Nothobranchius furzeri: one gene and its partner. The protein of the gene in region 1 purifies or fractionates together with the protein of each later gene. This does not show direct contact. Links are inferred from orthologs where the notes say so. Each region holds a gene or a part of one and is shown in the gene's direction. Other genes may lie near its edges. The genes, in order: slc22a15 and vapal.

Region 1 (4,471 bases):
AACCACCGGGGTGCTGACCGTCAGCTCCATGAATAAGGACGACAAAGGCTTGTTCACGGTGGAGATCAACGGTAAGGACCAGAGTGTTGGCTTTAACGTTGTAGAGGTCCTGCCTGTACCTAAACCCGAGGCCATCGTGAGACCTCTAACGTGCAGCGACTCTTCTATTGAATGTAAACTGAGCTGCGAGCCGACGGGACCTCTTGTCAACGTCGAGCCTGTTGAGTACTTCTGGATCCTGGGAGGGAAACAACAGCCGGGAAAGAACTTCAGCATCACCAACGACGAGAAAACCAAAGCAATCAAGACGTTTTCCTGCATCATCAAGAATAAGATCAGCCAGGAGCAGAGTGAGCCGCTGGAAAACCCCTTCAACAAAAAGCCACCCGGCCTTAATGGAGGTGTGGTGGCTGGGATCATCGTAGGTGTGTTTGTTTTTGTCTGTGCGACTCTTGGAGTCGCATTTAGGAAAAAAATCAAACCATATTTACAGTGTTTTAAAGACGACCATCATTCCGTCCCCGGTGAAGAGGGTGGAAACAAATAGCAATGATCAAGATCAGTAACACCAGGACAGGGACCCAGAGGATCTCTATTCCTCCAGGTCCTGCTTGAATGACTTGTGACTGGGGGAAGAGCTTTAAAACATATGCAGCAACTAATAACTGAATATGACCACTTTAAATGTCCAGGTAGTGTCTTCTCAGAACCTTTCAGGTCTCTTAGCGACATGATTCGTGATGAAATGGGTGTTTGTTTAATTACTGATCTACCTTCTTAAGTTATGAATCTAGTTAAATGGACGTGAAACCTGAACCATCTGTGCTGTTGCTGTCTGAGTGAACATAACCATGAAGCACTGCAGCATGGAGACAGTGCTGGTGAGGAGATGCTGGACCATGACTGTGTGTTTGCTGGAGCTTCTAGAAGTCATCTCTGGAGGACTTGCATGGGGATGAAGCATGGCTGCTTTGCTGCAACATGAAAACCTTTCAAATGTATAACATCCAACTGTGTGCCATTTTTTTTTTTTGTAAATTTTCTAATCTGCTGTGATGTGTAAATGCACATTAATATTTTGCACTGGTTTGTTTTCCTTTGCTCCCAGATCTCGATCCCTAACTCTTGCATCAATAGTTTTGCTTCTTTGTGATTTTTTTTTTACCTGAAAACTTGACCGATGGACTAAAGAAATCAGGTCTTTGCTGTATTGTTTTTGTTTTTCCCACCATAGTGTTTCGGTTCAGTTATACTTTAAAATGATCCCATTTTTGAAGACAAACTTCAGGCGACACTGGGACATAGAACCTTAATGACTTTGTAGCCTCCTGAAATAATATTCATATCCACGTACTCAAAGATAGTCTTTTAGGGAAATCACCAGTAAAATACGGCTTATGGTTTCTGCATAGCTCTGAGCTACTTGTCCAAAAACAATGTTATTAATTCAGATCCTGATTTTACTGAGGATCTTGTGTTCACCTCACATAGAAAGGTGTGCCATTGGCTAAATAGTTTCTGTTTAATGCGATGTTTCAGAGAACGTCTTAAAGCACTCAATCACAAACCCCGATTCTATTTATTAGTGATGTTTTAACTGTTACTCTTGTGGAAAGTGCATTCAGAATAAATCAACCATTGCTTCACGAACTCTGGCCTGTCACTGACTGAATCCGCCGGGGGAAAACAAAGCGACGAAAGCGGAAGTAAAAGATGGTCACTCCTCTCTTGGTGCTAGCTGGGGGCGATGCTAACTCACATTAGCATCCGCTCGCACTCTGCTTGGATGGACATTGAAGCAGCTTTCCAGGTCGTCGGAGAGTTTGGGCCTTATCAAAAACGAGCGGTGACCGTGCTCGTCCTGGCGCAGGTTGGTGGCTCCACAAATAAACCATTTATCATAAGTAAATGATGGAAGCAGCGGGAAGCATCAGTTAGCTGCTGCAGTGTTGAGTGGCTTTCGAATGACTGACGGAAGTGTAAAAAAATCTACAGTTCTGTTTTTTACCTAAAACATCTAAACATACCGAACTATTTTCTATGACTTCCCTAAATGTGATAAAGCTGACACTAGCTGTCGTGATGTGCCAGAATGATGATGACGTCAGGTAAAAGCCCAGGTAAAGTTGTGAAATGCAGGCAGATTTAAACGTATACAAAAGAGCCAATAAAGCCGACAAAGCCTCGCACCTTGTGACTCAACTCATTAGTCAGAATTATTTTCACACACGACAATACTGCCCAGCTTTGAGTGGACCTTGTACATTTTCTGATGCTTTGTTCAGTTCGGGACAGTGGCGTGTCCAGATATTAAAATGGGGTGGCCCAGGTGAGGCACAACTTTGTGCATGGGTGGCACCAATGGTTATGCTTTTTTTGTTTTACCCCCAAGCCTTTCGTGGACAATGAAAAGCCTATTTAACGGTAAATTAGTGTGGTGGCACCTGGGGTGGCCAATTAGATTCCAAGGGTGGCATGTGCTACCCCAGGCCACTCCCTGGACATGCCCCTGGTTCGGGATTGTCTTGGTAAACCCTAAAAGAGCCGTGAAGTAGAGACACTTCTACTGGTGTAGCAGGATAAACGCTCTTGTATTAAATGTGGTCGTTTTAACAGACTGGTGCAGGACTGGTCCATGTTTATAAAGCACGATCTGATGCGCAACTCCGATATGAAAGCTGCTGAAGTCACATTTCCAGTCTGGGTTATGTGGTTTGCTCATTTCCTTATCTTTAATTAATGCTATTATTTTGTTAAGTCTTACATTTTGTTAGTAAGACAATAGAAGTTATAATTGGAAAGAGCAATTGTTAAAAAGAATTTACGTTGCCTTAAAATAACCGAAATTCATTTTGTTGTAAAAAATCAGAATTGTGAACTTAAAATTGGGAATCGAATTGGGAATTTTTTGCTAAAATGTAAAAATAAAATGATTGGAATGACATTGACATGATGATTGTAAAAAAAGTAATTGAAGAACCACTGACACATATCTGTAATTTATCTTTTTATGCAGGCTCATTTCCAAAAAAACATGAAAATAGCTAAAGTAAAACCCCTTTATAAAACAGGCGACATACATCATTTTACTAACTAGACATGTCTAGAGCTGAGGAAAATAATCAAATAATCGATGCATCGGGATGTGGACATAAACGATTCTGCATCGTAGAAGAGTACGCCATAATCGATTATAGTGGAATGTAGTTTTGTTTTTTTAATGGCACCGCATCCAAATCTGTCAGAGTGAGCCTCCTCCACATTTACCTCCGCCTTAATGTGGTATTGCAGGGCTGAGCGCTAGAGTTGTCACCCGAGACCGAACCGGAACCGAATCAGCCCGACCGGTTCTGTTGGATTTGGGCTGTGAATTATGTTAATTGAGCGGGTTGTCATGCGGCGCGCTCCGCTCGCTTGATCAGCGACAGAGAGAGAGAGAGAGAGAGAGGATCGGAGGACGCTCCTCCAAACCGATGCTCCAAACACGCGTTATTATTTTCATAATTTAATTATTATTTCTCCTGGAAGCGCTCAGTCAGACTGCTTGTTGTAATGTAGGGAGATCCGGTCTTGGGGAGGGGGCGGGGTCAGTGACGGCGGCTGCAGCGTAATCATCTTTTATTTAGGGACATGGAGAAGTTGGAGAGAGAAATAGAAGTTCTTGTTCCACTTTATTCTTTTGTTTCATGATGATAAACTGATGTTAAATTCAGCTTAAAGAGAAACTGGGAGGAAGCTTTGGTTCATTTTAGGTTACAGGAGACTTGTCTCCTATCTGCTCCTCCAGAAACAGCATGGACATGAGGGTTACATGGTGAGGGTCCCACAGGACAGGTTAGTGGAAAGGTTTGTAGTTAGCTGGTTAGTGAAGGAGATCCATCAGCTGGGTAATTTAATCCTAATCCAGCCCACAGCCTTCTGCTGGTGTTATTATCAGAAAGAATAAAACACACATCTTAAATATTATTGGAGTGTATAATTTGTTTTATGTTTTATTATCTTCTGCATCAAACAGAACTTGATTCATTCTCCAGCATTTCAGAAACGAACTACTGGGTTCAAATAAAATAACAAACTAAGTCAAACATTTCATTTGGTGTTATTTCTGACACCCTTCGACTGTGGCATAAATATCTGACTCTAGAGCTTCTCAGAGACATTAAACACTCATATATGAACCCATTATGTATTTTATTATTACATTATGTGTCCTGTAAGTTTTCAGTACTTTTTTAGATTTTGTGAGTTTTTGCAAAGCGTGTTTTTCTCAGCCTGAGGCGTGGTGTTGAACGAGGAAACAGGTGTTTTACTTTGTTAAATCTTCTTAAATGTTTAAATGTTTTGTCCTAACCTGTTGTGAATGGAGCGATTTTGAGGGATGGCAGGTTGTGTCAGTTACGTTTTAGATAAAAAAAAAGCAATTATCTGACATCTTCTATTTATCGATGAAAACAAATCAACATGAAATAAT
Region 2 (3,821 bases), on another chromosome or scaffold:
AGGTGCCTGATGACAGTATATTCTAGCTTCATCTTTGCTACTATAAATGCCAAAATCCTCCCCAGGGTGCCGCGGCAAATCCCGTTTTGAAAACGCTATGGTCCTATAAAAACAGATGGAGAGCAGAACTGCTTCCCAAATAGGAATCTTGTACATGTTGCTTTCTTCCGTTGAGTGTTTTTTTGTCAAGAAATCGCAATTATACACTATTTTAGAGGAAAGCGCAAAAACAGAGATTCTAAAAACTGCTGCAGAATAAATAAAAAATGTTGAATAAGACCTGAGTTTATAGTGATTTCTGATTAAAGGCTGTTTTTCAGTTTGTTTAATTTATTACAGAAAAAAGTAGAACATCCATTTTCTCTTCCTGATTCAGTAATGATGGGGAAGCTGGGCGGAAAGGTCTGATGGGCCAGGTGTGGCCCGCGGGCCACCAGTTGATGTCCACAGCTCTAGACAAATCATATTTTCTCTTTATGTTCACACTGGATTAAAAGATCTGCAAGGTTTGCATAAATAAACCTGGCCTATTTATCTTTCTATGCACCGTTGCACAGGAGGACGATGCTCTGGGTTTACTACAAAGTGAATAATGGTTTCATTTAATCTAATATTACTGTTTTCATTTGATATAAAATTGGATTAGAAATAATTTATCACCCTGCCTGATTTTTTTTTAGTAAACAAGTAGAAGTTTATGAGGATTGCAAAAACTGGGATTAGTTATTAATAAATGTGCCTGATCTTAATGTTTTAATATTCTTATTCTAGAGGCTGGTCAGTTTACAGAAATTCTGTCATTATTTTGCTATAAAAAATAAACTTTTGAACCATTTTAAAGAATTCCAGCGTCATGAGACATGTTCTGACTCCCAGGCTAATTGTTTACTTGAAGTTGAAGGTGCGTCTGACTTGGCAGCAGGTTTTGTTTTTGACATGGCATAGACGATCAAAGCTGCTAGTGCTGACCACAGCTAAGGACTTAATTTGAAGCCAGGCCCGTCACAAGGTGGATACCTGTTATGCAACCACCGCTCTCCTGATGTATGACCTGACTTGGAAAGGCCTTGATATCATCATGGGACCTCTATATGAAATTATCTGTCTGGAAGTAAGCATAATCAATTCAGGTGGTTTGTTGGTTTGCTTCTGGAAACTGATGCAGGGATAAGTCTTAAAGGTTTTTGTGCATCTCAAATTTTACATAGTAATATTCTTTAACTTTATGTCATAGCTTTTAATGTAATTGTTTAATCTAGGCAGAGCTTAGCTTTTTTTGTTAGCTATAGAGGTTAGAGTTGTCCTGAGAAGTTGCTTTCCAACCCACCATTCAATTAGGTTTTCAATCACAGTTCAAATTGAATTGCCCTTTACTGTTTCTCTACTGATCTTTTCAAAGCCTAAAGTCTTCATTAAATCTCAGCTACAAACATCACAGACCTGCTGTTTTTCCTAGGAGGGTGGTGCATCCACAGATGTTGAGTTTCTACGGTTTTGACTTTAGTAATATACAATACACCGGTCATTCATTTGGTTCGCCTTTTACATGTGACACAAATCAAAGAAAATTGTTTATTCTTTAGTGATTTATGTAACAGATTGTTTTAGTTTTCAGGGATGTTTTTTACTCGGTCTTCCACAGTGTGCTTAAACAGTGATGCCCTTGTGTTCGCTGTTTTCTGTGCACCAGGTCCTTTTACAGATGTAGTTACCAGTAACCTCAAATTGAAGAATCCCTCTGAGAGAAGAGTGTGTTTCAAAGTCAAGACAACAGCTCCACGAAGGTACTGCGTACGGCCAAATAGTGGAGTCATCGATGCTGGTGCAACCGTCAACATCTCTGGTAAGCTTTTTACAGCTGTTTTAGCTTTTGTTATCTTGATCGCATAAAACTAGGGCTGCAGCTATCGAATATTTTTGTAATCGAGTACTCTATCAAATCTTTTTTTCGATTAATCGAGTACTCTAATAAATTACCCTTTTGTGTTTGTAAACCATTATATCAAATAACATGTTATAATTATGAAAGACCTCTTAAAATGAGCACGCAATTGCCAGTTATTCTTCAAGTTTTATTCAAAATTAGTTTGCAAAACTTCAGCACTTCAACTTTACTTCACAGTAAACAAATGTCTGTGCAAAACATAAGTAAACAACCTGAGCCGATTTCCCCCTCATGCGAGAATCTGCTAGCCTGCAAGCCAGACAAAAACTAGGAGAATAACTGTTGAAGTAGCGCTGCGAGCGGCTGTGGCCCAAACAGAACCAGAACCGCTCACGGCGCTTGCGCAAACAGCTCGCCAGCTGTTTCCCTATTAACACACGTCCGTTTTAATTTCTACACTTTTTTTCTCACACAATAACAAGGATTGTCGAGAAAGCATGTTTGCCGTGGTTATGTCCAATTACACAGATCACAAAACATTTATTTACTTTCTTGTTTTCCTCCGCCACTCATAAATACCCGTGTCCCTGCAGCAACCCCGAGGGACAACAAATATCAATAACAACACAGTAAAAAGTCCGACGTGTTGTGTAAAAACTGCTATTTTTAGCACATTTTAAGTCCGGCGTGTTGCTAGCAGACGTACGGTGTGAGCTGAAACTGAGCGCTACAAACGAAAAAGTCGCACAGTGTCCGCAGAATATATAGAAATTAGGGCTGGGGGTAAACGATTATTTTTAAAACGATTATTCTGACGATTATTTTATCGAATAGTCGACTATTCTAATGACTATTTATACAATTAATCTAATGATTATTTTTCTATTGCACAGTTAATAAAAACCAAAAAATCTCTAATAAATTCCTCCAAAAAATTGATTAATTGTTACTGTAAGAGAATAAACACTACAGGCCTCCCATTTTGTATAACACTGCTTTTATTGTGTTGGTTGGTTATGTTCTGGTGACGTGTAGAACTTGGGAGTACAGGCTGCTGCCTGAGAGGTGGTTGGAGACGGAGTGTCTCCATGCTGCTTCGTCTTGGTCACTTATGTGCGTGAGGCGAGTGGTGTTACGACTCTTCCTGGGGAGTTTGGCTCGTGTGCAAAAAGGAAGGGACAATAATATGGGATTTAAAAGTTAAAATGATGATCGGGTTTATTTACAACTACAAAAAACCAAATCTTTCCATCCACAGGTTGGGAGTAATAAAACTAATTCTGCCTGTGGGGAATTAAAACAAAAGTACAGATAACTAGGGATGTCCCACTGTGCAAAGATTACAGGGTTTTGGACCAAAATAAGAATCTCCAAAGTTCCAAACTCTAAACTGGGCGGTTAAACCAACCTCAAGGTGATATTTTAAACTAAACCGAAAACCCAAAACACTCTAAATGTAACAAAAGGGAGATTTTATTACATTTAGACATTTATTAATTTGTACCACAAATTATTATTTTTTATATGTGTTCAACATGTTTAAATATCGCTTGTTTAATTAACCAACATTTCTAGTGTACAGCGCCTTGTTTGGTTGTAATGCCTTGTGAATGCGCTTTATAAATAAAATTGGATTGGATTGGATTGTAAAAAGATGAACTCTAAACCAAAACGTAACAGCTTATCCAAACGCAAGAAGCTGTTAGCGAAAATGCTAACAGTAGCTTTACCAACGTTAAGTTGCCAAGTTTAAATAAACCAAAAACACCCAGCAGCAAACAGACCAGCTCGGAGGAGAGACTGCTACCACCAAAACAGCTCTCCTAATGTCTGAAAGAAGCTCCTTTATGAAGGGAGAAACGCTCCCGGTGATTTTCTACATCTGCTATAGAGACGGAGCAGCGCATTTGACCCCGGAAGTTGTTGTCCGTTGCCG

The links.
Region 2: the proteins of slc22a15 (region 1) and vapal purify together in Homo sapiens (co-immunoprecipitation; 3 studies listed by BioGRID and IntAct, with this or other methods). This does not show direct contact. The link is inferred for Nothobranchius furzeri from reciprocal best matches to the Homo sapiens genes SLC22A15 and VAPA.

Annotation. Positions count from the first base shown.
Region 1 is NC_091752.1:45,756,065-45,760,535, forward strand, and holds the start of slc22a15 (solute carrier family 22 member 15), read left to right. Parts: upstream 1-1,515; 5' UTR 1,516-1,747; coding exon 1,748-1,870; intron 1,871-4,471. Other genes in the region: CD48 antigen, read left to right, coding at 1-547. UniProt on the Homo sapiens protein: Organic zwitterion/cation transporter with apparent specificity for amino acids and their derivatives. Has low affinity for its substrates and may regulate their flux across the plasma membrane at high substrate concentrations.
Region 2 is NC_091751.1:42,874,798-42,878,618, forward strand, and holds part of vapal (VAMP (vesicle-associated membrane protein)-associated protein A, like), read left to right. Parts: intron 1-1,690; coding exon 1,691-1,843; intron 1,844-3,821. UniProt on the Homo sapiens protein: Endoplasmic reticulum (ER)-anchored protein that mediates the formation of contact sites between the ER and endosomes via interaction with FFAT motif-containing proteins such as STARD3 or WDR44.